Diceros bicornis minor: one gene and its partners. The protein of the gene in region 1 interacts with the protein of each later gene in a biochemical or structural test. Links are inferred from orthologs where the notes say so. Each region holds a gene or a part of one and is shown in the gene's direction. Other genes may lie near its edges.

Evidence for each region.
Region 2: the proteins of LGALS3BP (region 1) and LGALS1 form a complex in vitro, tested with the Homo sapiens proteins (2 studies listed by BioGRID). The link is inferred for Diceros bicornis minor from reciprocal best matches to the Homo sapiens genes LGALS3BP and LGALS1.
Region 3: the proteins of LGALS3BP (region 1) and LGALS3 form a complex in vitro, tested with the Homo sapiens proteins (4 studies listed by BioGRID). The link is inferred for Diceros bicornis minor from reciprocal best matches to the Homo sapiens genes LGALS3BP and LGALS3.

What each region holds. Positions count from the first base shown.
Region 1 is NC_080757.1:58,721,230-58,731,663, reverse strand, and holds the start of LGALS3BP (galectin-3-binding protein), read left to right. Parts: upstream 1-6,029; 5' UTR 6,030-6,132; coding exon 6,133-6,153; intron 6,154-8,119; coding exon 8,120-8,195; intron 8,196-9,262; coding exon 9,263-9,454; intron 9,455-10,434.
Region 2 is NC_080764.1:12,073,122-12,083,529, reverse strand, and holds LGALS1 (galectin-1), read left to right. Parts: upstream 1-6,153; 5' UTR 6,154-6,250; coding exon 6,251-6,259; intron 6,260-7,513; coding exon 7,514-7,593; intron 7,594-8,720; coding exon 8,721-8,892; intron 8,893-9,197; coding exon 9,198-9,344; 3' UTR 9,345-9,397; downstream 9,398-10,408. UniProt on the Homo sapiens protein: Lectin that binds beta-galactoside and a wide array of complex carbohydrates. Plays a role in regulating apoptosis, cell proliferation and cell differentiation. Inhibits CD45 protein phosphatase activity and therefore the dephosphorylation of Lyn kinase.
Region 3 is NC_080763.1:5,217,006-5,226,840, forward strand, and holds the start of LGALS3 (galectin-3), read left to right. Parts: upstream 1-5,422; 5' UTR 5,423-7,372; coding exon 7,373-7,390; intron 7,391-8,034; coding exon 8,035-8,370; intron 8,371-9,835. UniProt on the Homo sapiens protein: Galactose-specific lectin which binds IgE. May mediate with the alpha-3, beta-1 integrin the stimulation by CSPG4 of endothelial cells migration.

The sequences.
Region 1 (10,434 bases):
CTTGCCTGATGCCTAGTTAGCATGCACCCATTCTGTTGTTGTGGCTCACCAAGTGGAGATATCTGGAAGATTTGGTGATGAGGTGGGGCTCGGGTGAGAGGGCTGACTGATCTGGGTGTCATTAGTGTGTCTGATGAATCTGCAGGAGCAAATGAGACCATGCCAAAGGACATGCAGGGTCCTAAGAAGTCCTAACATGAAACCCCAGGAACAACGGGAAAGGAGGGGACTAGTAAAGAAGAGAGGCTTAACCTGGAGAAGGAGGAAACCAAGAGAGTGTGGTGTCATGAAAGCCAGTGCCCACATCTTTTGTCCCATCCCCAGCCCGCTCTGTGTCCCCAGGGCCTGACCTGCGTGAACCTCTTGAACCCTCTGGGATTGACCCCTGACTGGCAGGAGGGAGGGGATGAGCTGGGAGTCCCTGATTCCCTCCTGCAGGGTTGGTCCTGCACTGTCTTACAGGGCAGCTCCCTCTACCCACTCTCTCCCAGCCTGGGCTCCAGTAACCACTCCCTGCCTTTGTCCCTTCTGGCCTGGGAGTGGTCCTAGCTGCAGATCCCACACTACCCCCTGTGGTGTCCTTATTCCCTGCTCATGCACACCTAGTAAATAGCCCTTTTCTTCAAGCCTCTGTAGATTATCCACATTTGGAGCCATCTGTTTCCTGCTGGGAACCTGAGCAGTGCAGCCAGGGAGGAGAGTCAACCATCACACACTGCAGGGCCGTCAGTAAGAAGGTCTGGAGAGTAGCCAGGGACCGAGAAACAAGGAGGACTCGGTGTTCTTGGCGATCCTCGTGAGGGCAGTTCCAGGAGGGGGAGGGGGAGAAGCCAGAGCGCCTTAGGCGAGGCGGGAACGAGGTGAGGAACTGCAAGTGGAGGGGCAAGGAACTGAAAATCAGGTCTTGAGCCTCTCTTTAAGAGGTCCTGATGGCTGGACTCACGCAGGCAGTGACTCGTGCCTGTGTGGCACTCTTGTGTGTCCAGTGTGCAACTCGTCAGCAAAAAGAAACTCCCAAAAGTCATCTCGGGACTTAGTGGAAAAAATGAGATCAGTTTCTTTCCAAATGTTAATTCTGTCCTCTTATGCACTTTAAATTGGTAAATGTTAAGGTAACTTATACCTTAATAAAATTGTTAAAAGATTTAAATAAAGCAAAAATAAAATGCCTTCACACAAAGAAAATTCCAGGCCCAGATGGCTTCACTGGTGAATTGTACCAAACATTTAAGGAAAAAATAATACAAACCAACACAAAATCTTCCATGATTTGGGGAATTGGGAACACTTCCCAGCTCATTTTATGAGGGCAGCACTACCCTGATACCAAAACCAGACAAATGTTTACAAGAAAAAAAAAAATACAGACCAGTATCCCTCATGAACATAGATGCAAAAATCCTTAGCAAAAATTTAGCAAGTTGAATCCAGCAATATAGAAAAATGAAAACACTTCATGACAAAGTGTGGTTTCTGCCCAGAATGCAAGGTTGGTTTAATATTCTAAAATCAATCGATGTAATTCAGCATATTAACGGACTAAAGAGGAAACCATATGATCATATCAAAAGATACAGAAAAAGCATTTGGCAAAATCCAACACCCACTCATGATTTAAAAAAAAATGAAACAAAAACAAAACAAACTCTTAGCCAACTAGGAATAAAAGGAACTTCTTTAACCTGATAAAGGGCATCTGTGAAAAACATACAGCTAACATCCTACTTCACTGTGAAAGACTGAATGTTTTCCTCCTAAGTCTGGGAACAAGTCAAGAATGTCTGCTTTCACCAGTATTTTCTCCCCCACTAAACTTTTTATCTTGAAATTATTTTAAACCACCTAGAAGTATAGTGTTGCTATGTTCCCTTCACACAGCTTTCTCCAGTGGTAACACCTTATGTTACCATAGCACAATTATACAGCCCAGGAAACTGGCATTGCTGTCATCACTTTTATTCACCAACCATCTTATTGGAGGTCCCAGAGAGTGCAATTAGGCAAGAAAGAGGAAAGTCATAAAGATTGGAAAAGAAAGAGTAAAACTATCTTTGTTTGCTAATGGCAAGACCAACTAGGTAGAAAAGCCTCAGAAATCTTCAAAAATAACTGTTAGAACTAACAGTTGAGTTTAACAAAGCTGCAGGATACACAGTCCACATATAGAGATTAATTTTATTTCTATATAGCTGCAGTGAACAATTGGAAATGGAAATTTTTAAATACAGTGTCATTTACAGTAGCACCAAAAAACGTGAAATAGATATAAATCTAACAAAACGTGAAAGATCTGTATGCTGAAACTACAAAACACTGATGAAAGAAATTAAAGGAGACTCAAGTGAAACAATATACTGTCTTCACAGATGGGAAGACTCAATTTTGAGAAAGAAAAACAAAGTTGAAGGACTTATACTATCTGACTCCAAGAGTTAATATAAGGCTATAAGTAATCAAAACTGTAATATTGGCATAAGAAACATAGACATATAAATCAATGAAACAGAAGAGGGTCCAGAAACAGACCCATATGTATGTGGTCAGTTGATTTTTGACAAAGGTACCAGGGCTATTCAGTGGGAAACAGATTGTCTCCATAAGTGGTGTTGAGACAAGTCTAATCTGTATGGAAATAAATGATTGAAACCCTTATCTCCCATCATACACAAAGTTAACTCAGAATAGATCATAGACCTAAATGTAAGAGCTGAAACGACGAAACTCCTAGAAGATGACGACATAGGAGAAAATCTTTGTTAGGCAAAGATTTCTTAGATATGACACCAAAAGAATAATAAATTGATCTTTAACCAAATTCAAAACGTTTGCTCTTCAGAACACAAAACAAAACAAAATTTGCAAATCATATATCTGCTAAAGGACTTGTATCGGGATATATAAAGAACTTATACAACTCAGTAATAAGATAAACAACCCAATTTAAAATGTGCATAAGATTTAAATAGACGCTTCACCAAAGAGGATGTACGAATGACAAATAAGCATATGAAAAGATGCTCAACATCAGTAGTCATTAAAACCACAATGAGATTCCACTATATACCCACTAGAATGGATAAAATTAAAAAGCTGGCAATCCCAAGCATTGGTGAGGATTTAGAGTCACTGGAAGGGTGATAAAATTGCTAGTAGGAATGCAAAATGGTTCAGCCACTTTGGAAAACAGGTTGACATTTTCTTAAACAGTTAAATCTACATCTACCATATGACCCAGTAATCCTATCTATAGGTATTTACACACAAAAAATAAAAACTTACGTTCACGTAAAGACTTGTGTGACTTGTCTCCAAATGTTCCTAACAGCTTTATTCATAATAATCAAAAACTGGGAACGACCCAAATGTCCGCCAATGCATAAATGCGTAAACAAATTATAGTCTTTCCATACAGTGGACTACTACTCAGCAAAAAAATGAACCAATTACTGATATTCACAGTGATGGAATGAATCTCAAAAGCTTACAAAAGATTACATACAGTATGTTTCCCTTTTTATGAAATTCTAGAATAGGGAAAGCTGCATGGCAATAAGCAGATCGGTGGTTGCCAGGGTCGGGGCTGGTGGAGGGGACTGACTGCAAAGAGACGGAAGAGAACATTTGGGGATGATGAAAATGTTCTGTATATTATGATGGTCATGGTTACCATCTGTATACATTTATCAAAACTCATTAAATTGATGCATTTTACTGTGTGTAAATTATATTTCAAGCCAATTAAAAAAAAGAGAGAGAGAAGTGTGTGGGTTTGAATCCCAGCTCTCTCCCTTCCAGCTGTGTGACTTTGGGCAGATTTCACCTCTCTGTGCCTCTGTTTTCTCATCTATAAAAGGGGTTAATAAGAGCAGCAACTTCCCATAGTGGTTGGGAGTATTAAATGGGTCAGTTCATGTCACAGGTTTAGAATAGTGCCTGGCTGCATCAATATTAGCATTATAGGTAATGTTCCTGTATTCTGCAGGGGAGGTTGAGTAGAGGCACAAAAAATATCTTGTAAACCAGCTAAGAGTTCTGTCTCTGAAAGCCCCCAGCACTCTCCCTGCCACGTCTTGGCAGTGGCTTCCAGATTACAGCAGCATCGTCCACACTGTCACAGTTGGGCCCAATTGTTTGCAGTGTCCGGGACTTTCCCAGTCTCTCTATCAGAACTGAGCCCCTCCTCTCTGGAGCAGATCATTTCAAGCTCCCGTTCCACGTTCCCTTTATGGGAACCTAAGGCTGGAACAGCCTTGAGAGCCTGGGGAGCAGATACTGTGCTGTGATGCTGTGCTGAGGCCTCCATCTTACATTTTATTTGCCTGGACCTGAAGGACTTTCCAGGACTCTTGGCTAAAGATTCAGCAACTTGAGTTTTTAAACATTTCCACCACCACCTGCCAAAGGACTTCCTCTGCATTCCAGGCCTTGACTGGCCACTTATTTGAGATAAAATCAACGGAGACCATAAGAAGTGACAATGCTGGAGTTCCTGTGTCAGCGAGAACTGAGGCTCTTGATCTGGATGGGATTTTAAAACTCACTCCAGTGTCTTGTTTTGCCAGTTCTATTTCTAGCTGCCTCGCCCCCTGCATCTTTAGTTTCTTTGGAGGGGACTAGATGAACTGTGGAGTCCCCCAAAACCTCACTTCTTGGGCAAATATTCATTGAATGTTTGACCTGGGCGCTCGCCCTCTTGGACTGCAGGCTGCCAGTGTGTCTCACCCGGTGGTTCTCAGCCCTGGCTGCACGTTGGAGCCACCTGGAAGGCTTTTAAATGCCAATGTCTGTCCCCACCCAGAGGTTGTGACTTAATGGGTCTGGGCACTGGGAGTTTGTAAAACTTCTGGATGATTCTCACATGCAGACCAGGTCGACAGCCACTGGGTTAGAGAGACCTGGGGACATTACAAAGGGATAACCCTCGTCCAGAACCTTGGGATGCCAGTGACAGAAACAGAGGGCGTTGATTGCCTCATTTAACTGTGAAGCCCCAGGCTTGACCTTGGCTTCAGGCCAGCTGGACCCAGGAACCTAGTTTCCTCCATCTCGCAGCTCTGCCCCACCTGCTGCCTCAGCTGGGCTTTCCTCGGGCACAGGCTGGGGCACACGGCACAGTAGCTCCAGGCCACATGCCCCCATGGGGTCGCTCTCCATGAGTGTGAGGCCGACTCTCGCTGGGCTGGCTGGGATCACGGCCTGTCCCTGACACCATTGTGTGGCCAAGGGGCCCACAGGGCTCTGATCAGCCAGGCCCTGGTCAGATCCCAGGGCAGCCTGGGGCCCTCAGAACCACACGGTCTGGGAGTGAGAGAGGAGGGCTTCTCCAAGGAAAAATCGAGGTGCTGGCTTTCTGCTGGAGGACAGAGAATGGGGGTGAGGTGGGTAGAACAATTTATGTCCACTCCAGAGGTTCTGTCTCCTGCCCCACTGGGGGTGAGACGCCGGGAGAATGACCATTATTGGGGTGGGTGGCATACTCTGGGGATGTTGTCTCATGTCTCAGGGTCTCCCTCCCCCATTAAGGGGGACGACACTGTGCAGCTTCGCGGGGTGTGGCCCTTTCTGTGAGGTCAGGCATGTCAGGTGCTTAGAGTAGGGTGGACTTGGGAATGAGTGGCCACTCCAGCGCTGTCCACCCTGTGGCAATGTGTGAGACCAGGAAACAGATCGGAGCATATACTAAGACCCCTCGGTCACTGGATGCAGACCCGGCCTGTCTGTGCCCACCCTCTGCTCTTCTTGCTGTCCCCTGCTTCCCCACCCCTCCCCTCCCCTCCCCGATGCCAGCCCCTGGCGCTGGTCCAGCTTGGAAGAGGGTTTAAATTCAAATGTGGCTGTCAGCTGTCGTGCTCTGGTTATCGAGTCAGCCGGACGGCTGCCTTGGGCTGCTGCCATCCCCGACACCCACAGTCAGGGATGAGAGGAAGGAGGGGGGCGCCAGGGAGCCTTGTCAGCAGCCAGCCCCAGGAGAAATCTGTCACGTGGTTTCTGAAAATCGAAACTAGAATCAGTTTTCTGAAGCATTTCCTGAAGGGACCAGCCTGACCACGCTCTGCACTGGGAGGGTTTTCTGGGTTGAAGGACAGTCTGCAGAGGGCTCCTGCAGCAGGAGGTGGGAGGCCCAGGACCACCATGAGCAGTTGCCTCTGGCAGGTAAGCTCAGGCCTCTTGCTCTCTCTACACAGCATCATCTAGTGGGGGCCAAGTCTCCCTGTTTGCACCACCCAGCTGGGGATCTGGTGCTCCTCCTGAGCCCAGGGACCATCATTGCTTCTCCCAGATCTGTAGGGCCTCTGTGTACAGTTGTGCAGGTTGTTCACTGCAAAGGGACACCAGCCAAAGGGGCAAAAAGTCTTGGAATTCAGCCCACGGCCCTCTCACCTGTCTGTGCATTCTGGCCCAGGCCTCCCTTCACCCGAAGGAAGAGCCCCTTTTTCTAATTGGCACAAAGGCACCGTATGGGTCAAGGGCAGCCCCATCCAACTTCCCATATGAGGGAGTCAGGCAATAACAGGTGGCCCCTGCCATCCCAAGGGCAGCGACATTTGCATGCCGTGCACCAGGTATCTGATTGGCCATCTTCCAGGACCCTGAGTTCCTGTCCCAGGACAAACAAACCCGGTGGCAGCGGCTCTCCAGGGAGTGTAGAGGTTGACCAACCATCCTGGTTTGCCTGGGACTGACAGCATGTCCCAGGACGCAGGACTTCCAGTGCTAAAACCGGCACAGTCCCTGGCACACTGGATGGTGGTCACCCTGGCCCCTCCAGCCATCTGCTGAGCTCAATGCAATGCAGGCCCCAACCTGCGCTTACCAGCTGTGTGATGCGGAGCCAGTTACCTCTCTGGGCTTCAGCTCCTTCACTTGTCAGGTAGGGTTAACAAGGCCTTTCTCAGGGGTCGTGGTAAGGGTTCCCTGAGCTGGTGCGTGTGAGCAGCCCTGGCACAGGGGATGCCCATTCAAGGCCAGTTAACAGATCAGTGTGCCTAGGAGCCCAGGGGTCTTGTTAATGCAGAACTAGGGTGCTGCTTCAAGGTGACCAGCCCTGACTTGTAGGGACTCTCACAACAGCGGCCTCATCCCCCACTTGCTGGACCTCGGGGGGTGGGGACGGTCACAGGATTCTTACTGAGCCAGAGAAACAATGACTGGCTCTTCCAGGTCCGGGATACGGGGGGAGGGAGGCAGGTGAGGGGCAGGGTGGGAATGAAGAGGAAGAGCAAGCAGCAAGAGTTACAGAGAGGCGAGGACTCCAGGCAAAACCTGGGAGACCTGGGTTCCCCCACACCAGATGGCTGTGTGGCCTTGGTGGCCCCAGCCTCTTCAAGCTTCTGTTTCTTGGGGACACTGACCTCACAGGTGGCAGCGCCAGGTCCACACCGAGCCCACTCAGCATTTCCTCCCCATCCTGGTCCCGGTAGCCCCAGTCTAGCCCCCACCCCCCCAACCAGCTGCACAGAGACTCAGCACTCAGCTCTGACCTCTCTCCCCCCCACCCCCACTGAACCCCCCCCACCAAGCCTGACATCTCTCACTGCTGCCTGTCCTTCTGTCGCTCCTGGCCTGGGTTACTGTGGCCTCCTCCTGATGTGTCCCCCTGCTCTGCTCTCACTCCCCTCCCTTCCAGGGCTCACATGGTCCAGAACTCCAGAATGTTCTTTATCTGCTGCAGACCTTGGGCACTCCCCCAGGGGTCCGTTGCCTGAAGATACGGCTTAGCAAGGCTCACCAGGCCTCTCCTCATCTGGGCCCTGCACACTCCCATCTCCTCCCTCTCCATCCTCCTCACCGTCACCACTGACAGCCACACCCAGGGCCTTGTTTTCTGAGATGGGCTCCTGTTTCCACTGTCCTCACTGCTCGAGACACCCCCTGCTCGCCCCCTTCATCTGGGCAAGTCTTACTCGTTCTTGGAGGACCACCCTTCAGATGAGGTGAGGGACTCCCACTGGGGTGCCCAGAGCAGCGGGCATTCCTCATACTCACGGCTCTGCGGGAGCAGGGACCGCGCCCACCAGCTGTCCTCCACAAGTAGGGTCTGAAGGATGGATGGACAGACTGGGCCTGGTCCTGAGGGCTGTCCAGCTCCACTGTCTCACTCTGCCGCCTCTTGCTGCAGGACGAGGGGCTCCCAGGCAAGGCCATGGCCCTCCCACAGCTCCTCTGGATGTGGCTGCTGGTCACAGGGACTCAAGGTGAGCCGAGCCCTGGGGAATGCCAGAAGCAACAGTTGGAGAAGCCCCTGCTCCCTAGCTCTACGGGGTTGACCCTCTCCTTGCAGAAAGTCTAGGCAATGTGCTGTCCAGTGCCTGGGTCACCGGGACCAGCCTGGGTCTTCTCTCCTGCTTGACCCTAGTTGTCCCGAGTCATGGTGGATTGTGTCTTGGAGGTGGATACCAAGTGCTTCTCCATTCCACCTAGTGGGAACCAGAGGGACGCAGTAGGAGGGGCACATTGGACAAGCCAAATGCTGGGGGTCATGAGGTCAGTGCCCTTTGGACACAGTCAGCCTTCCAGACTCCTAGACATCTGTCCTCCTGCTCTTTACACCTCAAGGCCCAGGAGCCCCTTCCTCATCCTAGTGACCCCACAAGTGGCCTGCTGCACCCCTAACTGGGAATTGCCCTTTGACATGGCACCCAGCTCTTGCCTTACCCTGTCAGCACCGGGAGGGGCTGGCTGGGGATGTCAGTGAGCTGAGTCCTAGAAGAACGAATATGGGGCCAGGACCCCACTTTCTCTCTGTGCCTGTGTTTCTGGGGGTCCCTGGGCCTGCTGCCCCCCGGCATTCCCCCAGACACCTCCCAGCAATCCTTGCTGTGGTGCACAGGCTGCCCCCCCAGGCCCAGACACCCTCAGGTGGGATCAGCATGGGCCCCTTCCCCCTCCCCACTCTTCCCTGGGGTCCTGCACCCCTACTCTCAGTGCTGTGCACCAAGCATCCCTTCTGCCCCTTTTCTATCAACGGAGCAAAGGGCTGAGACCTCGAAGACAAGACAAGGCAAGTTTACCTTCTATGTGTTGGTTGGGGGGGCTATGCACATCTTCCACTCCTCCCCCATGGGCAACCCCCTCGAGGTTGGATGGGGGACTTTAAAGCTAATTGTCCAGTGGTCACCCCAGCTGGGGGGAACTTTACTGCCCCCACAAAAGCACACAGTCCTGCAGAAGTGTGGGGCGGTCAGTGCTGCCAGCCTGGATGGAGACCCAGCCACCCAACCTTCCTCCCGCTGACCTTTGCTTTCCCTCGGGAGCCCTGCAGGTGTGAAAGATGGTGACATGCGGCTGGCCAATGGGGACACCGCCAATGAGGGCCGCGTGGAGATCTTCTACAGAGGCCAGTGGGGGACAGTGTGTGACAACCTGTGGGACCTGACAGACGCCAACGTTGTCTGCCGGGCCCTGGGCTTTGAGAACGCCACTGAGGCTCTGGGCAGAGCCGCCTTTGGGCCAGGTAGGCCTGCCGGTACCCGGGTCTGCCAAAGCTGAGACATGCTGCCAGGCAGCCAGTCCCAGGAAGGGCCCGTCACCTACGACATGCAAATGGCATTCCTATCAGTTAGCCCTGGCAAGCACTGGAGCTAACCCTGAAGCCCTGTGCTGGTGAAGCTCCCGGGCCTGGCTCGCTCATGCTGTGATGTGATTTTTGGTGACAGGGCTCTTGGGCACCTCATTCAGGAGCTCAGCTGTGTTTGTTCCCTTCAGCCCAGGAGCTCCACTCCTGGGAATTTATCTTCTTGGAACAATTTCCCCCAAAAGAAAAGTCCATGTGCAGGAAGATTGTCACTGACACAGTGGCTGCGATTCTGAAGAAAGGGAAATAATCTAGATATTCAGTGACAGGGAAGATGCACAAATTGTGGGATACTAATTCGATGTCTATGAAGCAGACAGACTGTGAGAAGGAAGGCTACGATTCTTAGAGACCTAAATCTGGCTTTTGTGTGACGAGATTTGAATAAGCACTTAGTATAGTCTTTTGAACACAGAAATCCTGTTGTATTTAAAGTTAGCAGACCTGTGAGCAACTCTGTCAGGTTCATGTCCTCTAACGGTGAAAACAAAACAAAACAAAAACTCACAACACTGTTTCTATGAGAGATTGATGAACTTTGTTTAAAATTAAAAAAAAAAGGAACACGTTTTGTAAACGTGTCACTCAATACAGAATTGTATTAAAAAAATTATTCATTTTGGTACAATGTTACAATAGTAAATCCGAACCCACATTCGAATAGTCAGCATCTCATACCTGGTAGACGACATATATACGTGGACATGCTCTCGAGAGGAGTGTGAATGACAAAGAGCTGCTTTAGTGCACCAGGGGGCTGGCAGGGTGTTTTTCCCTCTTTGTGCACTAAATGTGACTGTTCTTGGTGAGGCTTCTCAGGGGAGGAGCCCTGTTCGCAGGGCCTTCCCCAGGGGCTGAGA
Region 2 (10,408 bases), on another chromosome or scaffold:
GACCAGGGGTGACCACATGGCCGCCCAGGAATCAGAAGTTCCTCATCCCCCGCCCTTTCACCCTTTCTCTTCCCAAACCACATGTTTCCATGAGCCAGGGCCACTCTAGCAAATCCCCTTCTCTGATACCAACTAAGAGGGAAAACTGTTTCCTCCAACCACAGAATACTTCTGACACCGACTGTAGGTTTTCTACACCAAGCAATTCTGCGGTTTCCTGCAGACGCCAACCGGGTGTCCTGCAACTTAATTCAATTCTGCCACTACCCGGAGTTAGCGTGGACCCCACAGGTTAAGGGCGCAGTCCCACAAGACTGCCCTCCGCTTCAGATGCCAGTCACAAGTCCTAGGTTGTCACCTGCACTTCTGACCAACTGGCTATAAATCAGGGGTTCCCACAACCCCCTTCTCAGTTTTGATAATTTGCTCTAGCAGCTCACAAAACTCAGGGACACACTTAGGTTACCAGTTGATTATGAAGGATATGATACAGGATGCAGATGAACAGCTAGGCGAAGAGATGCAGAGGGTGAGGTCCAGAAGGGTCCCGAGTGCAGCAGCTTCTGTCCCCGTGGAGTTGGGTGTGCCACCCTCCCGGCAGGCAGATGTGTTCACCAACTCCGAAGCTTCCCCAAACCTGTAGTTTAGGGATTTTTATGGAGGCTTCATCGTGTAGGGATGATCAATCAGAACTCAATCTCCAGCCCCTCTCCCCGAGGATGGGGGGTGGGGCTGAAAGTTCCAAACCTCTGCTCATGGCTTGGTCTTTCTGGTGACCAGCCCTCATGCTGAAGCCATCCAGGAGCCCACCCGGAGACACCTCATTAGAGCAAAAGACGCTCCTGTCACCCAGGAAATTCCAAGGCACTTAGAAGCCCTATGTCAGGAACTGGGGTCAAAGACCAAATATTAGAACACAAGATGCTCTTGGCACCCTAGCATCTAGGAAATTACAAGGGTTTTAGGAGCTCTGGGTCAGGAACTGGGGTCAGAGACCAAATATACATTTCTTATTATGTCACACTCCCCTTCTAATTTAAACTTTTAATTTAGACAAGTTCCAAACCAACAGAAAAGGCGCAAGAACAGCACGATGAACACCCACGTGCCCTTCATCTGGATTCCCAGTTGTTAATATTTGCCCAATTTGCTTAATTGCTCTTGATATATATTTACATTTTTAAACTGTAAACTCATTCGAGAGTACATTGCAGATGTAAAGACAGTTCATCCCAAATACTTCAGCTCATCTGCCTAAGCAAGGACTAATCGTGGATTACGGCTGTGCAGAAGAGCATGGACCGTCTCCCCGGCCACAATCCCTGATCAGACAGAAACCCAGATCTTTGATGATTTCATGGAGCCACTGAATTAAGTTGTCCTGGAAACCTCTTAGTGCCAGACTTCTTGTTATACGAAAGTTTTCCTTAATTTTAAAGCAATTTGTTGATTTTTCTGTTACTTGCAGCCAAAAACTCTCCTGATAACACAGGCCCCAGGCCCATGATAGAAAACATTAAAATGCATCCATATCCCACCTTAAATATATATATAGGGGTTTGTGGGGGTTTTTGCTACACTTTTTCTTTTCTTTTCTTTTTGTGAGGAGATCAGCCCTGTGCTAACATCTGCCAATCCTCTTTTTTTTTTTTTTTTTTGCTGAGGAAGACTGGCCCTGGGCTAACATCCATGCCCATCCTCCTCCACTTTATATGGGATGCCGCCACAGCATAGCTTGCCAAGCAGTGCGTTGGTGCACGCCCAGGATCCAAACCAGCAAACCCCGGGCCACCGCAGCAGAGCGCGCTCACTTAACCGCTTGCACCACCGGGCCAGCCCCGTTACACATTTTTCAGTTTTGTGTGTGTGTGCGCGGAAGATTAGCTCTGAGCTAACATCAGTTGCCAATCTTCCTCTTTTTGATGAGGAAGACTGGCCCTGGGCTAACATCCATGCCCATCTTCCTCTACTTTATATGTGGGATGCCTGCCACAGCATGGCTTGACAAGCGGTGCGTAGGTCCACGCCAGGGATCCGAATCCGCGAACTCCAGGCCGCCGAAGCAGATGCTGCGCCACCAGGCCAGCCCCTCAAGGTACTTTTATACTTTTGTTTTAGACGTTATTTGGCTGTGGGGATCTAATTTAGGGGTGACCAACCTCTAGGAATACGTGGGACACTTTCAAAGTAAGTAAATTCAACCTACAAAATTGTTTTCGAATGTAATACAGTTTTTATGACTACCAAGTTTTAAGTTGGAGCACAGTAAACATTTATGAATTTCAGCTCTGCAATTTTAGTATTTTGGAGCCAATACATTTTTTTCCTCAGGTCTCAAATATTTTCTAAGCTCTTAAAAAGCACTTAGTTTCCTGTGAGTCTATAATTATTTCAAAAGAAAATATTAAAAAAAAAAAAACAGAACGGACTCATGCCTGAGCCCTGGAGGGCTAATGAATGACAGAGTCTGGACCCCGCCCAGACCTCATATGAGAGGAAGAGCGGGTCCCCAAAGGCAAGCAGCGGCCTGTATTCAGAAGGGGGACAGACACCAGGTGGGAGGGCGAGAGTGACAGGTCCACTGTGTTTGAGGAGGAGGCTGTCTGGGCAGGGGGGACAGCACCAGCAAAGGCAGAGGTGAGAACGGATGAGCAGGTAAGTGGGGGCGGGCTCTCGCACAAACCAGCTGGAAAAGTGCCTGAAGTTGGGGGCACCCCCCACTAGTCCTTCCTACCCTTCATGGAGCAGGATCCAGAAAAGATCGTTCTTGAGGTCCAGGTACCCCAGGACCACAGTGTGCTTTCCCTGGCTTAGGAGATGAAAGGGCTTCAGCTCTAGCTCCCTGTGTGACCTTGGCCAAGTGGCCACTCTTGCTGCTAGTTTCTGTGTCATTAAATGAAGGAGCAGGTCAGGTGCAGTATCTCTGCAGTCCCTCCCTGCTCTGACTTCTAGGACTCTGGAGCTGGCTCTGATCACCCCCACCTTCCCAGGCCAGGCCAGCCAGGTCGGCTGGGGGCTGCGGATGGTATCCTCGTGGGCCTGGCAGCCCTCCCCACCACTGCCAGCTGGAGGAGACGCAGCCTTCACAGAGAAAGAGCAGGAGCGGGCAGGGCAGGAGGACGAAGGCTAGGAAGGGCCTGGATCCCCAGTCCAAACGAGCTGAGCTCGTTTCTCACGGCAGCAGCCAAGGTCCAGCCCACAGGACCAGCCTGTAGAAGAGAGGAATTCCACAGAGCTCGCCGCCTCTGCTGCAGGGCGGTGAGAGAGGAGGAGAGTCCCCAGGGTGGGGGGCCTTGGCCTTGGCGGGTACAGGAGAGAGAACTAATGCTGAGTCCCGCACATCACTCTTGTAATCTTCCAACCAGCTGGTGAGTGGGTAACATTCCCAATTCCCCGGCCTGGAAACGGTTCAGAGAAGTCCAGGACCTTGGCCACAGTCACAGCCAGGCAACCCCCAAATTAGGACTCGCCTCTCTTCTCCCAATTCTAACGTCAGCTTCGTTTCTGCACAGCTTCCCTGTGCAGACGTTCAACCCAGTTGGCAGACACGAAGCAGCGGGGAGGTGAGGAGGAAATGAGATAATGTATGAAAGCACGGCGCCGGGCACAGGGCCTGGCAGATAAGTGGGCGCCACCACTAGGAGGCCCTGAGGACGGGGTGGGAGTGGGGTCACAGTGCACCTTGTCCCTGCCTCCCCCAGGAAAACCACAGTCCTTGTTATAGGGGACCCAGAATCTGGAGAGACTCTCTGCCAGCCTAGGCAGGAGGGGACTGTTGGGGATGAGGTGAGGGTGGGAGAGCCTGGGAAAACAGACAAGAGGGAGGCTAAAACCTTCTAAGACTGTGGAAAAAACAATCATCTATTGAGTACAACAGACCTGAACTCCACCCTGTACTAACCTTGTGCAGGAGAGCAGGGTTTCACCTCCCCAATTTACAGATGGGGAGACTGAGGCAAGCAGGGAGAGGCAACTTGCCAGGATGCCCTGGGGAGGGCATGGCAGGGCCAGGACCAGAATCCAAGTCTCCAGACTCCCAAAGGGGCCTTTCCAGGGGGCCTATTCACAATGCCATGCCCCCTCTCTACCAGCCCTCAGCTGGCCGGACCCTGGAGGGGAAGAAAGCAGCCCCTCATCCAATAGCAAACACTTCCTGGTGCTGGGCCAGTCTTCCAGGTTGGGGGAAGAATGGAGGAGCAGCTCTTGGGGCCCCGGGGGAGCCCCACTTCTGGGCTGGAACAGCCAGCCAGGCCCACCTGATGGCAGTTGGGTGAGGACTGTGCCTGAAGCACCTCTGGTCCCCGGGCAGGACTCCTGCTGAAATGCCGCCATTTCTCCATCAGATGGAGAGGGTGTCTGGGCCCTTGGAGGGGGAACACGGAGGAAAGGCAGCAGAGCTGGCCCCACCTGCCCCTGCCTATGCTGAGGTTTGGGGGGGGCCCTGGAGGAAAAGTGAAGCAGCTACAGTTGGTTTCTGAGGCAGCCCGCTGGGAAGGGAGGAGGGGGGAGGGGCTTGCAGGAGGTGAGGCCCAGCCTCCTCCCCAGGCCTTCCCGTGGCCCCCCGTGCACTCCCCACTCCTCCTGTGCCAGGGTGGGCTTCAGTCCTCGGGAGGAGGGTGGGCTGGGGAGGCAGCGGAGGGCAAGGCTGGTTTGCTGGCCTGGCCTCCAGATGTGAGTCACTCCTGGTCTGCATCTTCCTCCCTCTTCGGTGCTGGCAGTTTCAGAAGGGGGATGGCAATGACGAGAAGGAGGTCCCATTGACAACTCCCCTAGCAAGCCCCCTACCTCGCCAAGTGCTCCCCATGCCCCTCTCCCCAGTGGTTCCTGGGTGCGAGGTGAGTACCCCTCTGACCCACCTTCAACTCTGTTGCTACACTGATCTTCCCTGCAGCCCAAATCTGGCCTCAATACTCACCCTCCCTATAACCTTCTGTGGTTCCCCAGTACCCTCAGATAAAACAATGTCCAAGCCCCTCAATGAGGCCCTTCATGATCCAGGTACTCCTGGCCTCCCAGCCTCATGCCCCATCTTTCCCCAGCACACCCTGAACTCCAGCCATGCCCCGATGCTCACAGTCCCTAGACCCGTGCTTTCTCATTTCTGAGCCTTTGCCCATGCTGGAACGCCAGTCTCTCCTTCTGCACTCATCCTTCAAGACTCGCCTTCTTCACATTCTGGACAGTCTCCACCCCACCGTGGTGCTTGCTCATGACTTCCCTTAGAGCCAGCATCACACCAGTTCTTGGTTAGTTTCATGGCCAGATTCTGCCCCAGCAATGGGCTACCTGAGCAGGGACTGGGAGGGGTTCATCTTGGAATCCTCTGAGGCCAGCTCAGGGCCAGGACACACGGTAGGTGCCCAGTAAAATATCTGCTAACCGGTTAGGGAAAGGAAAGGCCTGGCCTTGGAGGCAGAGATGTGAGGAGAGTGGGCAGGGGGTGCCTAGAGCAGGGACCCCCAACCCCTCCTGGCCTGGCCCACCCTGGGTCCCCTCCCAGGCCTGACCCTCTCAGACAGGTCAGAGGCTGTCAGGCAGGGGCTCTTGGAGGATCCCCAACCAGCCCCTCAGAAGTGCTGAAGCCCGAGGCCTGAGTCCCAAGTCTGGCGGCCGCCTCAGGCCTGGCACGGGCCCAGCACAGCGGCAGACACGAGCCCTGCTTCCGGGGGAGGCCAGGGTGGGGCCTTGTGGTTAATGGGTCCTGGGCCTCTGCAGAGGTCTGCAGAGCGGGCCACGCCCTGGTCCCTGCCAGGGGCAGCCTCAGGAGCCCCAGCTCGAATTCCCTGAAGGACCCTGCACCCCCTCAGCCATCTTCTCTGGGTACCCCCTGAGCTCAGCCTGCTGGCCCCAGGGCCCCTTCCCGCCAACTCCTGGGCCTAGCTCATCCTCAAACTATTTTCCATTGGCTTCCCCCAATCCCCACCACAGCACAATTTATGGGGGGGTAGGGAGGGATGGAGGAGAACGGGAGGTGGAGCCTGGACCCTGGAGGAGTGACTAAGAAGGAGTGGGGGGGTGTCCACTCTGATTGGTCACCTCTGCTCCAGAACCGGCTTCAGAATTCCATTGACTCCGCCTCCAGTGGCCCCCATCCCTTTCCTGACTTACAATTGGCTGAGCTTCCAAGGGGCGGGGCTCACCAGGGTCTGGACCAGTTAAAAGGGCGAGAGCCGCCCAGGGCCCATCTCTCGGGTGGAGTCTTCAGACAGCTGGTGCCGCAGTCCCCAGGAACATCCTCGAGTCCTCAGTCATGGCTTGCGTGAGTGTGGGGACCTCGCCCCAAGGCCCAGGGATGGTGGAGGCAGACAGCCAGGGGAGAGTGGGGGCAGATCAGGATCTGGGTTCTAGTCCCCACGGTGTGGTCCTGAGCAAGTACCTTTTCTTTTCTGGGCCCAGTGGCCGCATCTGTAAAATGGGGGTGGGCGCCATGGTCCCCCAAGGCCTTCTCTGGCTTAAGAATTTTCTGATTCCTCCAGGGTCTGACAGCACAGTTTTTTCTGCCAAGGTCTGACATTCTGCAGCTCTCTGAGAAATGGGAGTGGGAAGGGTGTGGCCAACTGGGGGGGGGGCACTTTGATGACTCCCAGGCCACTGTTCCTTCCCCCTCCTCCTCCACTCCAAAGAGCCTCCTGTCCCCTCCCCCCTGCAGCTGTCCCCAGTTACCAGCCAGGGCAGAGTCACCCTCTGCTCTAGAGAGCTCTGAAAAGTCGCCAGGATCTGAGAGGCTGTCTGGGAGGGGGCCTGCCTGGGTTAGTGGGTGGAGGGTGGTTCTGTCCAGGCCGGTCAGGCGAAGGCTGGGGGAATTCCCCACCACCCACTCCCACAAGCTGGGAGGTCAGGAGCTAAGGGAGAGAGAAGGAGGCAAGAATCTTCCAGGCCCCAAGGGAAAGAGTTCAAATTTCTGGCAGAAGGAACCACTCGCACTGATTAAGCTCAGGGCTCAATCTTGTTAACCCTGAGCCAGCCAGGCTGCAGACTCCAGCTCTTGGCGGCTCTCCCCTTCTGCAGAGGGTGCAGAGCTCCTTAGGGGTCTCCTCCCCAGCCCCTGCACCTCTCTGCACAGAGGAGCCGGCTCCAAGGGGCTGGTTGGGGATCCCCCAGCTGCAGGCCTCTTCTTCTCCAGCAGAGGAGCAGACCCCTTCGTTTACCTTGCTTTGCCACCAACTCGCAGTGTGACTCACCCTGAATCTGGTTTCTCTCCATCTGTTAAGTGAGGCGATGGGGCATAGCACCCTAGGCCACTCTGAATCCAAAATCCCCAAGCTGAACCGCACAAAGTTCTAGATCTTGGCTTCTAGAACCTCAGTTGTGTTACACACAGGAAACCGACCCGGTTAGGAATAGGCACTTGCCCAGGGCCACACAGAGAAAGAGAGGCTAGAACTGCCACCCGGGTTCTCCAGGCTTCCAGCTGGCCTGGTCAGAGGATCCAGGGTGGGGACGACCTCCGCCCCACCCCACCCCACCCCGGACAGGGTCTTCTGACCGGCTGGGCGTGGTCTTGTCTGCGCAGGGTCTGGTCGCCAGCAACCTGAATCTCAAACCCGGGGAGTGCATCAGAGTGCGGGGCGAGGTGACCCCCGACGCCAAGAGGTGAGGGGGCGAAGGCAGGGCGGCGGGGGATCGGAGCCCGAGGGCCCTGCCCCGCATCTGGTAGGTGCGTGGCCCGCCAGGCCTCGCTCCTCCCTAGGGGGAAGGGGTTAAAGCCGGCGGCCGCTGAGGCTGCTTTGTCCAGATGAGTCACTTCCTCCGCGGGGTCTGGACCATTCCTCCGCGGGCACCATTGTCGCCCCCTTCCCTCCAGCTGGAGCCTCTTAAACTAAACCAGCTGCGGCCTCACCTACCTTGGCTGCCCCCCCCCCCCCCCGGCCCCCGGCCCCCGCTGTGGGCGGGACCTGAGGCTGCGGGGGACAGGAAGAGGGGATGGGAGGGTGTCACTCCCTGCTCTCCTCTGAGGTCCCTCTCTCCTGCGTTCCTCACTCACTCAACCTTTCATTCCTTCGTCCTTCCTTCACCCATCATTAATTCAGCAGCAACCATGTGACCTTGGATCAGTCACCCGACCACACCGATCCTGGGTGTTAATCAGTTAGTGGGGCAAGAGGTGGTTGTGTAGAGGAAGTGAGATGCTGGGTTTCTCAATAACTGTGCTGATGACCCCGATAACGCGATAAAGAGCTGCACACCCCCTGTGCGCTGTTCATATGATTCTTAGGAAGCCATCGGAGCTGGGCGTGGCTCTTATCTCCACCCGGCACATGTATTATTAAGTATTATTTGTTCATTCGCTGCCTCACGGTTATTGAGCACCTACTGTGTGTCGTGCATCATGCCGGGCACCAGGGGTACAGAGATATACAGGACAGACAGGACACTTGCCCTCCCGGAGGTCACCATCTAGAGGGAGTCTCCGACCTTGACCCAAAGGGCTGGGACACAAACTAATGTTTGTGAGAGCCTTGGCTGTCAGCCCAGCAAGACTCTAAGAGGGCCGCCTTGTGCAGCCCCCATTGTGCAGAGGAAACTGAGACCCAGAGAGGAGCAGGGACTTGCTCAAGGTCACACAACAAGGAGGTGGCAGGGCCAGAACTAGAATCCAGGTTTCCTCCTCCCCGCTAAGGGAGTCCTCCTGGCTAGGAGTATTAGTGGGGTACCGAGCGGTGCCGACCGCGGGGGCTGCAGCGGGCTGAGGAGGCCTCAATCCCACCTGTTGCCCCTAGCTTTGCGCTGAACCTGGGCAAAGACAACGACAACCTGTGCCTGCACTTCAACCCTCGCTTCAACATGCACGGGGACACCAACACCATCGTGTGTAACAGCAGGGATGGCGGGGCCTGGGGCGCCGAGCAGCGGGAGTCGGCCTTCCCCTTCCAGCCCGGGAGTGTCGTGGAGGTGGGCTGGGGCTGGGGGCCAGGGGCAGGGTGCTGCGGGGACTGGGGCGGGGCTGGGTTTAGTGGCCAGAGACCTAGGTCCCACCCTGCCCTCCCCACCTTTCCCCCCTCTCCCCTCCTGTCTCCCCCCTCACCTGCTGTGTGATCCCACTGAGTGTTGTCCCCTCTCCCAGCCTCAGCAGCTCACCCGTGAAGTGGGGCTGTGGTCAGGGCCGCGTGAGGAAAGGGCTCGGGGAGGGCCCGTGACCTGCCGCCGTCGCCCCTGCTGTGGGGTCCACGCTGCTCACTGCCCTTCTCCACCGCCAGGTGTGCATCTCCTTCGACCAGGCGGACCTGACCATCAAGCTGCCAGACGGATACTCCTTCAAGTTCCCCAACCGCCTCAACCTGGAGGCCATCAACTACCTGTCAGCCAACGGCGACTTCAAGATCAAGTGCGTGGCCTTTGAGTGAAGCCAGCCGGCCCATGGCCCCCAATAAAGGCAGCTGCCTCTTCTCCCGCTGAACCAGCCTCCTGTGTGTGTGGGGGGGGTGAAGAGGGGGGTTCCGCCAGCACCCCCAGGCTCTGCCCCTTCCTGCACTTCATTCGCTTCCTCAATGCACTAAGTGCCAGTGACATCTCCTCCCCTGGGTCCCCTGGGCCAAGCAGAGGGCTCAGGACACGGTAGAGGGCTCGGTGACTACCAGATAAGACCCAGTCCCTGCCCTCAGACAGCTCCCAGCCCAGCGGGCCCCAGCACACAGTAGGTGTTCAAAAGATGTTGAATAAAGGAAACCAGGGGCCAAGAGGCCAGGACAAGATGGATCCATGCCCTGGTGTCCGGGGCAGCACAGAGCGGGGTGGAGGGAAGGATGACTGGGGTCCCTCTCATCTGTTTTCATGAGCTAGAAAGAGAGCTGGTTCAGACAGTGTGGGGCTACCAGCTGTGTGGCCTTGGGCACATTAACCTCTCTGAGCCTCGATTTAGTCATCTATACAAGGCGATACCAGCACGTAGCCTATCGTAGGGTTGTTGTGAGGACTCAATGAGCCGTGAGGAGGAGGACAGATTTAGTGGCTGGGAAGCGCTTAGCGGGTAGTGGTTTCCCGTCCCAGCTGCACCACCTCTTGAGATGTTATTACCCCAATTTGAAGGGGAGGGAACAGGCTCTGGGTAATGACATGACTCCCTGGTCTGTGCAGGCCCCGCTGAGCCTTGTGGGGCTCCCCAGGCACATACCCCAGTGCTGGAGTGTAAGGGCGGCTAGGGTGCTAGTCTAGAAACTGCTGGCCCTGTGGCCCTGGGCAGGACCCTCAACCCAACACTGGGCAGATGGGCTTGGGCGATAGCCCTGGCACCAACCGCTGGCCCGTCTCTGTATAGGAGGAACTGGGGTGTGGGGTGTAGGGGGGGATATGCCAGCCCCTGCAGAGAACCAAGAACTAGAGGCAGGCGGCCGGCTTGAAGCCCAGCCTCCAGGCTCCCAGAGGCCTCCTGCTGCCCACAGCCTCCTCCCTGGAGAGCAAAGGAGTGTGG
Region 3 (9,835 bases), on another chromosome or scaffold:
CGGTGAGTAGGTCCGCGCCCAGGATCCCAACCAGCGAACCCCGGCCCCGAAGCTGAACGCGCGAACTTAACGCCATGGGGCCAGCCCCAGTGGATATATTTTAAGAACCCGTCTTAGACACCTTTAACCATTTCACTCACCTATTACCCAGTTAAATGATACCAAATAAATATCACCTTTCTCGCAAGCATCGCTATTTGTCGTAACAACCTTTCTTAGAAATGTAGCTTGGTCTTATTCCTGCCTTTACCAGAGGTGCTTTTGTATTTAATTATTCCTTTCTTCATCAGGATTCTCTCCAATCTTTGAGAAAACAGACAGATTTTCTAGGAAGTAATTCATTATTTCGTTCATTCGTTCATGAAACAAACAGTTACTGAGAACCTAGTAGGCACTCAGCACTGGGCGGGTGCTGAGGATGCGGTGGAGAGCAGACAGCAAAACAATGCAGGGCTCTGAGTCTGAGCGTTGTGAACCTACATCTCAATTCAAAAGGGGAAGGCACGCGAGGCCCAGAACAGGGGAGCCCCTCAGCCGGCATCTCAGAAACTTCACAGGTCACTGGGCGCTTCTTGGGGAGGCTTCGGTGCCGAGAGAGGGTTTAGGTCAAGTAAATGCAGAAGGGATGCGAGTGCCTGCGATTCGAGCAGAAAATCGGTAAGCACGGTTAAAGCGAGCAAGCAAAGCTCCCTCAAGAAGCGCGCACGGAAACCTTCGCGGACTCGCCTGTCTCCGTCCGAGGAGTCAGCAGGGGAACCTGGAGAGAGGGCGGAGAACGCGACACACCCCCGGCGTCCCCCCTCCCCGCCAGGAGCGCCTGCCCCGCGCGCGGAGCCGCGGCGCCCGGCTGTCCGGCGGGGAGGGGCCGGGGTGCGGGGGCGGCCCCGCCCCGGGAGAGGCGGGCCGGGCCGGGCCGGGCGGGGTATTAGAGGCGCGGAGCCGCCGCCCCGTCCGGGACCGCAGCACCTCGCAGGAGCCGCCCGGAGCGAGCGAGCCAGCGAGTGCCAGGGCGGGGTGAGGGGCGCGGGGCGCCGGGCCGGGGCCGGGCACGGGGTCGGGGCTGGGGCCGGGCACGGGCGGCTCCCCCCCTGCAGGGCGAGGCGCCCGGGCGCGGCTCGGAGCGCGGCCTTCTCTGGGGGGCTCTGCGGCGCCTGAGGAGGGGGCTTGGTCTCTTGGGGTCAGGGGGGCGGGCGCGCGCGGAGAGCCGGGGGCAGGGCGGTGGGCGCCTTCAGGGCAGGGGTCCAGAGCCCTTGAGCCCCCGAGAGAGGAGTCTGAGACCCGGGGAAAGTTAGCGACGCCTTACGGAACCTCACGCACGTCGTGGGGCGGGCGGGGGTCTGCGGCCGCGGGCACAGGGCCCCTCTGCGCCACCGGGAGCCCCGGCCGCGCCCCGCCTCCGCCGCTCGGCCGCCGCCGGTGGGCGGTGGGTGGGCGCGCTCGTCCGACCCAGCGGCCGCTACAGCTGGGTGTTAGGAGCCAGGTCCCCTTCCCCAGGACACGGGGGTTCCGCCAAGGCCTCTACAGGGCGCTCCTTTGACCCGTGACCTGGCTGCCCCGCCCCTTGGTCTTGCCGTGGGGCGCCGACGAGTTCTCCTCCCAGGCCCGGCCGGCAGCGTCAGGGCCTGCAGCCGCTCGCTGGATGCCGATCCCACGAGAATGGTGCTGCCCCAAGGCCTCGGTGGGCATGTGTCCGGCTTGGCAAAGACCGCAGACCCTAAGCTTTTGCAAATCAGTGACTCGTCTCTGCCCAGACTGGCTAATTTGGGTTTAAGGATCCCAGATCTGAGCGGAGGATGTCTAGAGTGTGAGGGAATGTTGATCCGAGTGTGCAGAGCTCTAGGGGGTTTGCGGGGGGGGCGGGGGGGTGCTGTTAAACCGTGCTCCAGGATTTATTCTGAATTATCAGTTGCTCAAATAAAACACTACAATGCACCCACTCTGAGGAGCAGGAGCTCAATGCCAGGGAGTCGGGAACACAGGGGTGGAGGCTGTGACTTTGGCTTTCAGGCCGGCCCCTTCAAGTTAGCGATTCCTAGTCCAGACACTGTATAGGAATATTTGTAAGGTGACTCCTGGGAGTTGGGTTGCTGGACAATGAGGACAGTTGGACCTCCGTGACCCAGTCTGTTTCTAGAATTCTGGGAAAGAATGGAAGACAGTCTCAGTTAATTCTGAAGAAAATGATAGCAATAAAAATTGACCACTTGGGCACAGAGCATGAGAGAATTTTCACCAACTTCCAAAATTCTGACTCATTTGCCTCAAGTTTATAAAGTTTACCTTTTGTATGGGGAAATTGTGTTTCCATAAAAGTTAAAACTTAATACTAAAAATTAATTTTTTCACAACAGTCTCCTCTTCAGACATTGACTTTGAATCCCTAGAGTCCAGTCTTGATCCCTTGGATGGTTGTGCCTCATCCTTGATCTTTGGGAGATGGGAGCTGCTTCCCAAATTCATAACATTTGGGGGTTGTACTCAGAATCAGCACTTACTCCAAATTCTGGGGAAAAGTTTGATGATGGTCCTTGAATGTTTTGAGCTTAGAAGTATTAGGAAGATGCCTCACCAGGTTACATAAGTAGCAGAAGAGGGGGAGTACTGCCTGACAGACTGACCCCAAAGCTAGTTATTTGAATGGGATAGGCAAGTCTTGCTCTGTTGAGGGGTCCTTATTGATATCTCACTGTGCTACAAATATTCATAGGTTCGTTATGAAGACTTTTCACTTATGGCTACTGAGGTCAGAAGGCCAATGTTGGTCTCACCTATAATTTACGTACCTATTTCCCTAGAACCCTCGTCAGCCAGACTCTAAATACTGACTGCAGCGGAGACCTATATTCATATAGTATAACTTGAGAACCTCATGTTGACCTTAATACCAACTGGCTTGTCACCTTAATGTACCTGAGACTCAGGGTGACTGATCTGAAACATGGCCTCTTTCCTGCAGTGGTTTGGGACGGGGCCTCCTGCTGAGGGTCACTTGGGAACGTGCTATTTGGTGCCAGAACTGGTTCTTCTCAGGAGATGCTGAGGAGTGTGCCTGCCAGGGCAGTGCTTGCTGTCTACTTCCAATTTGCTGCTAAGTATCACGTGTTCTCTCTTGACTGATGTTCAGCTTTTCCCTGGGGAAAAAATCAGTAACTGAGAGGCACAAAGTAGCTTTACCTTCCTTGATGCTGAGGAATTATAATGAGAAAGAAATCCTAGTAAAGGACCAGTTTCCTTTATTCCAACTCAGCATCACTGAATTTGGCTTTGGGAAGTGGACTTTCCTCAAGCCCCGCTCCGTGTTTCAGCAGGGCCAGGGAGCAGACGGCGTCTCCTGTGTCCTTTGGAGAGCAGTGTGGGCAGTGCCTTGGGGTTCTCCGGAAATACCTTCAGGATCTGCTTACCCTACAGCTCGGATAAAGGTCAGGGCCCTTTGTGAGCAGAAATTTCACAAGTGCTCCTGGGAAGCTGGGGAACTGGATTAATTGCTAGGTGGGCCCTAGAATAACATAGTACACTGGACAGCCACTCTTTATCAAGGGGAAAAGCTACAATTAACAGCCGATTAAAATGGTCTACATTCTGCCTCGTGTTTAAATTCCATATTCCAAAGTGATACTGGAACTACTTTCTTCCTGTAGGTTTTTCCAAATGTGAAGACCCAGGTAGTATTTTATTTCCTCTATTTTTCTTTGTCTTTGATGTAATGTTTCTTTTCTGGCTCTTCAAAAGTCTCTGATTCTGGAAATGCCAGGACAGAGTTCACATATCTATAGTATCCGTAGAGTGTGGAAATTTTTTACATTTGATTGTCTCTCTCTGCATAAGCTACTCATCTAAAAGAAAGAAAGAAAGAAAGAAATTTTCCAGGCAAGTAAGGCAGTTATTTATCCAAATAGATTTTTTTTAAGTTCTAAAGTTGCTAACCTTGATTTCAAAAGAGCATTGGTTATAACCCTTTTCAAAAAAGAGATCTGATGGTCGGGAGTTGACCTAATCAAAACAGTGCATACCCAATTTTTGGAAAAATACATTTTATTGGTTTAAATGTGGTTGTAATTAGCACAGTGACTGTGCAAAATGGCACCCTTGTCTTCAATATCACTGCACACTGTGTGTCATCCAGCTAGTTTTCTGACAAAAACATGATCTCTTTTTTAATTTGTTTACAATTGCATATATGTAGTTCTGAATGAATAAGCCAGGCGATTAATTTCTAAATGAAGTAATTAACACTTTCAAAGAATTTTACTTTAAAATTTCAAAGTGTGAGGTTTTCTATTGGTGTAAAATGAGCCTGGAGTAGGAGTCAGGATGCTTGGGCCCTGGTCCTTGGCCCACCAATGACACAACGACTTAGGGCCACCACGTTAGCTCTCTGTGTCTCGGTTTTCTCCTCTCTAGAGTGGGCATATTAACTCTCCCCTGTCAGTCTGATGAAATCATATCAGAATCAAAACAGGTATGTCAAAGTGCTCTGTAAACTGAAAAGCACCACACAAATGCAGGGTGTTCATATTCTAAGGGGCTTGTCTAATGTGTCACAACACAGTCCAAAGTGTCATCCGAGGTGTTGTGTGAAACACAGTGGAAATAAAGTGAAATCTGCTTTGTTTCTCAAATTGTTTTGCTCGGGTTGGAAAATAAACTGAATAAACTCGAGCAGAGACTTTGAAAAGAATAAATGTTGAATTTTGGAAATGCTGTCTTTACGTGAGTCTGGGTGTAATCAGCTTTTAAACACATCTTAGTCTGCTCTGAGTCATGTTGCTGGGACCCTTGATGAGGCTGTGGGGCAGAGTTAGCTAGGGTTGACAATCGGCACTCCTTGTGCATGTGCCCACCTGTGTGCGCATTCACGTGGGGACGCACGGCAGCTGAGACCAGGGTTCTCACCAGGCGGTGTTTTGCCCTCTCCCCCTCCTCCAGGGATATTTGGCAAGGTCTTAAAACATTTTTGATTGTCGCAATTGAGGCAGGGCTGTCGGGCTACAGGCACCTTCTGTGTTGAAATCAGGGATGCTGCTCAACATCCTGTAACGCACAGGACAGCGCCCACAACAAAGTGTCCGGCCTGAAACGTCAGTGGTGCTGAGGCTGGGAAGCAGCCCTACACAGTGGGGTGTTTGTGTTTAAAACAAGTCAGAACACTCATCAAGTTCTTGCTGGGTCTTGGGTATGCTGCCCAGGGGTGGAAGAAGAGTTTGTCTAGTCAAAGGAACCCAGCTCTCTGCCCCGTGTGAAGGTCGAGATTGTTTCCTACTGGTGTCCACAATGAGTGAGGCTTTTACTGTCTTGATTGAAGAAATGTCTTTCCTCTTCCTTTTCTGTAACTGCTCTGCTCTCAAGTTCCTCTGCGGCCGCAGCACATTCTCTGGGCGTGTCAGCCTTTGGGGGGAGGAAGCACAAGCAGAGGAGCACCGGACTCTTGCTTGAAAAGGTCAAATACTATAGGAAATACAGTGAATATGAGCCCGGAAGAGTCCCTGTGACTTCCCAGTCAAGTTGCCAGCAGTTTCCCACCTGGGAAGATGGGCACAGTGATAACCTAACTGCTTCCAAATATGTTTGAGAATGCCCAAGTTAAAAAAGAGATGTGCAAAAAGAAATTAGTGGAAAGTAATATTTAACTGTGATCTAAGTCACAGCAGAGTAGGATAAAATATCTGGTGTGTGTAAATGAAGCACACATTAAGTCCTAGAAGGAGCTCTACCTGTTTGAGTTTCTACCAAAAAATCTAATGTTTTACATTTTTAGGACCTATCCGGTAGTTGCCATTTATTGGATCCCTTGGGAAAATGTCATTTCTTAACATAATTGAGTAAATTTCACAAGTGAGTAACTCAAGGAAAAAGAGATTCTGATTGTTTAAGGTCCAGGGAATTTTGGCCATAGCACAGGTGATCATGAGCTGAGAAAACTCACCCAGCCTCGGGAGTCTGAAGCAGCCCCCTCCCCTCACTGCTGGAGTGTCTCCCATGGGAGCAGGTGTGAAACATCGTGTGTGCGGTTAGGGACTTGGCACAGGGGGAGCAGCAGGAGAAAGCAAGAGTGATGTCTCAAGGCCACCCCATGAGGCAGCTTTGGGCAAGGCCAACCCTTTTTGGTAGCATCCTACCCCAAAATATTTTCTCCACATTGCCTGACTTTTTGTTTTTAACCTTATTTGTTATACTGCCATAGAGTTCATTTGCAGTAACAAGTATCTTCAAAAAAAAAAAAACAAAAAACAAGCACCTTATGCCCACTTTTCTTCTTCATTTCTCCACATCCCAATCTCAGCTTTCCTCTAAATCTTAGCTCAAACAGCACTTCCCTTTTAGAAGTAATTGATCCAGTTGTCACTTTCCACGACATGCGGTCTGACTCACAGCATTGATCACTTGTGGTCCCTGGGGCCTGTGGGCCCTTGGACCGTGTGGATCTTGACCTGTCCCTCCTCACACGCAGATAGGAGCCTGCACAGTGCCTGGCCCAGAGCAGGCGTAAATGTGTGCAAATGAAGGAATAAATAATCGGCAGCAATTACTTCTTGCGGGGGTGGGTGGCATGTCTTTCAAATCTCAGCGGGAATAGACCAACTCTGCTTTCCTCCTAAAACCCAGACATGGACCAGTTTGTGGGGCTGGGAGGGGAGGTGGCGATATCAACACGCTGAACCCTTTGTAAGAGGTGGTGGAGCGGCCGTCCCGGCGGCGCAAGCAGTTAAGTGCATGCGCTCTGCTGCAGCGGCCGGCAGTTCGCCGGTTCGGATCCCGGGCGCGCACCGACGCACTGCTCGTTGAGCCATGCTGTGGCAGCGTCCCATATAAAGTGGAGGAAGATGGGCACAGATGTTAGCCCAGGGCCAGTCTTCCTCAGCAAAAAAAGAGGGGGATTGGCAGATGTTAGCTCAGGGCTGATCTCCTCACACACACGAAAAATAAATAAAAATAAGAAAAAAATAAGACGTGGTGGAAAAGAGCACAGGAAGGCAGGTGAAGGAGGACCAAAGATAAATGCAAGACATTTGTTATTTGTTACTGAGGGATGGGGCAGAATGTTTTCTTCCTTATTCTCCTCCTTCCTGCGTTGTATGGCCTGTTACTCCCAGGATTTGGAACACAGGCTCGTGTGGTTAGAGTTTAAAGTTATGAGCTAAATGGGGCTCGGTGATCCAGCTGGAGTGCCTGCTGCCCTTTGACAAGACACTCTTGTGGTTCCACACTATTGATATAGGCGTATTTGGGGAATGGACTGGCTTGGGTTAGAAGAATGCCTGTAGGTTGACTAGAACTGCACAATGAACTATTTGTGATGTTAAATTTATATGGAAACCGGTGAAATCTTTTAGGATCATGTGATAACATCTTTTTTTTTTCTCCTCTCAGGAAAATGGCAGACGGTTTTTCGGTAAGCGTTTGATGTCTGTTTTCCTGCCCTAATATACATTCCACATAGGTTGAGGTTTGTTTTTTTTTACCACGAGACTTTCCTGCTAGCTCTCCCACCATGTGGCTTCCGCTGGCCTCACGTTTCCAGTCAGGGCTTGTTAGCTGGAGTTTTGTTTTCTAGCCACAGATTCAGGAAGGAAGCCAGGCCGAGAGAGGCCTGGGACTCACTAACAGTGGTAACCCCTTCACCTGGGACAGAAGCAGGTGGAGGCCACCGGAAGGAGCCGAGAAATAAACTGAGCAACAGGAAATGTGGTGCAGGCTGAGCGTCCTGCTGTCTGTGATTGTACATAACATGTGCTAGAAAGTATGTGCTTTTACAGAGGACAGCTCGCTCCCTACTTTAGCAAATTATGAAAATGCAACCCTCCATGATCTGAGTTGATGAGAGCTGAGAATGAAGTGATAAAGCATGTGTAATCCCAAAGTCTAATTTTAATCTTAGGAACTCAAAACTATTTATCAGTGGAAAAAGTTTTTTGATGTGAATTTCATATCTTCACCATATCCCTCTACTTCTTAGATCACATATTTCTCTTTTCCTAAAAATTCTGTTTTTGTGAATGTTTTTCATTCTGTAATTGTTTATGTCTCTCTTTTCAGCTTAATGATGCCTTACCTGGGTCTGGAAACCCAAACCCTCAAGGATGGCCTGGTCCATGGGGAAACCAGCCTGCTGGGGCAGGGGGCTACCCAGGGGCCTCCTATCCTGGGGCCTACCCTGGACAGGCACCTCCTGGCCCCTACCCTGGCTCAACAACACCTGCTTATCCTGGACCAAATGCATCAGGAGCCTACCCTGGGCAACCAGGTGGGCCTGGGGCCTACCCACCTCCTGGACCACCAGGTGGGCCTGGGGCCTACCCGCCTCCTGGACCACCACATGCTCCTGGAGCCTACCCTGCTGCCGGCCCCTATGGCGTTCCTGCCGGACCACTGGTAGGATGGAGTTAGTCATTCCATATACTTGATTGAGAGCAGGACAAAGCTAATGAAGAATGCAGCAATTGCCTGGACTGGTGGTGCCAGCACTTTGCAGTGCTCTGGCTGGGGGCTGGCTCTGGCACTGACCTGCAGAGGGCTTCAGGGAGACTGAAGCTTTAAACTCATGGCTTAAAGCCACTTTTTCAAGGACCAGCCATGGTGTATGTTGGTCCAATAGAAAAAATAGTTGTTTGTACTGAGTTTAGTATGTGTACTGTTAGTATAAAGAGAAGCAAATGCATCTTTTGAAGGCATCTGTAAAGCAGCTTTAGTATAAATCAAGTTAAAATCATAGTAATGGGGGAAGTTTTGGCCATTATTATTAATAAACACTGAGTACATAACACATGCCAGCAGTGTGCTTCTACACGGATGAGCTCAGGTATCCTATAACCACCCCCTAAGATGGTATTATTATCCCCATCTTCCACGGTGGGGATGGAGCAATCCAGAGTTCTATAACTTGCCCAGGGTCATGGAGGGAACATGTGGGGGAACCAAGGCGATCTAGTTTTAAAAAACGTTCTAAAGATTATTTTGCGATCTAAGGATTGAATTTTCATTTATATTAAAACACACTTTAGTAAATGAATTCTAAGTGTAAAACCTAACTCTGGGAGGCGCCAGACACGTCTCAGACAGATCCTTCCCTTTCAGATGTCTAGCCTAGTTGGGAGGTAGATGCAGACACGAGGAAAGAGTTCCATAACAGTGTGGGTCAGACCCTTTCAGGACTATGGAGAAGACGGCACGGGTAGCATCAGCGCAAAGAAAGCGTTGGGGGTGTGGGTGGCGTTGAGCAGGGCCTAGAGCACAGGTTAGTCAGGTGCAGACAGAGTGGGACACGGAGGCTGTGGAAAGGAAGATGCAGATGTGGGAGAGCTTGCAGAGGAAGAACCCCAGGATCTAGTGGGGAAGTCGTAGGAGTCAGAGACGACTCTGGCTTTTCAATGCTGGACAACTAGAGCACCAGCCAAGGGTCAGTCCAAACTGGGAACTCAGGAAGGAGACCTGAAGGGGGCGAGACGGGGGAGACAATTCCAGTTCCCGCCTGTTGGATTTGCGGCACCGGGAGCAAATCACGGCAGGAGGAAGTACAGGACTAGCACAGATCAGGGCTAGAGAGAAAAGACTTGGGTGATAGTTGAACCCAGGGGGAAATTATAAAGGGAAAAGAGAAGAGGCCAAAGAGAGCTCTGGGAGTATTCACAGCACCTGGAACACAGAGGGTCAATAAATATTTGCAGAATGAACTAGGGAAGGTACTAACTGGAAAGTGTCCGTTCCGCGAATATCAAATATCTGCCACATTCAAAGCACTCTGCTGGTGTCACGTGAGTAGACAGTATGAGAACTCAGAAGCCCTAGAACATGACACAATGCCTGCCGTCTGGGAGCAGAACAACTACCATGAAGTATG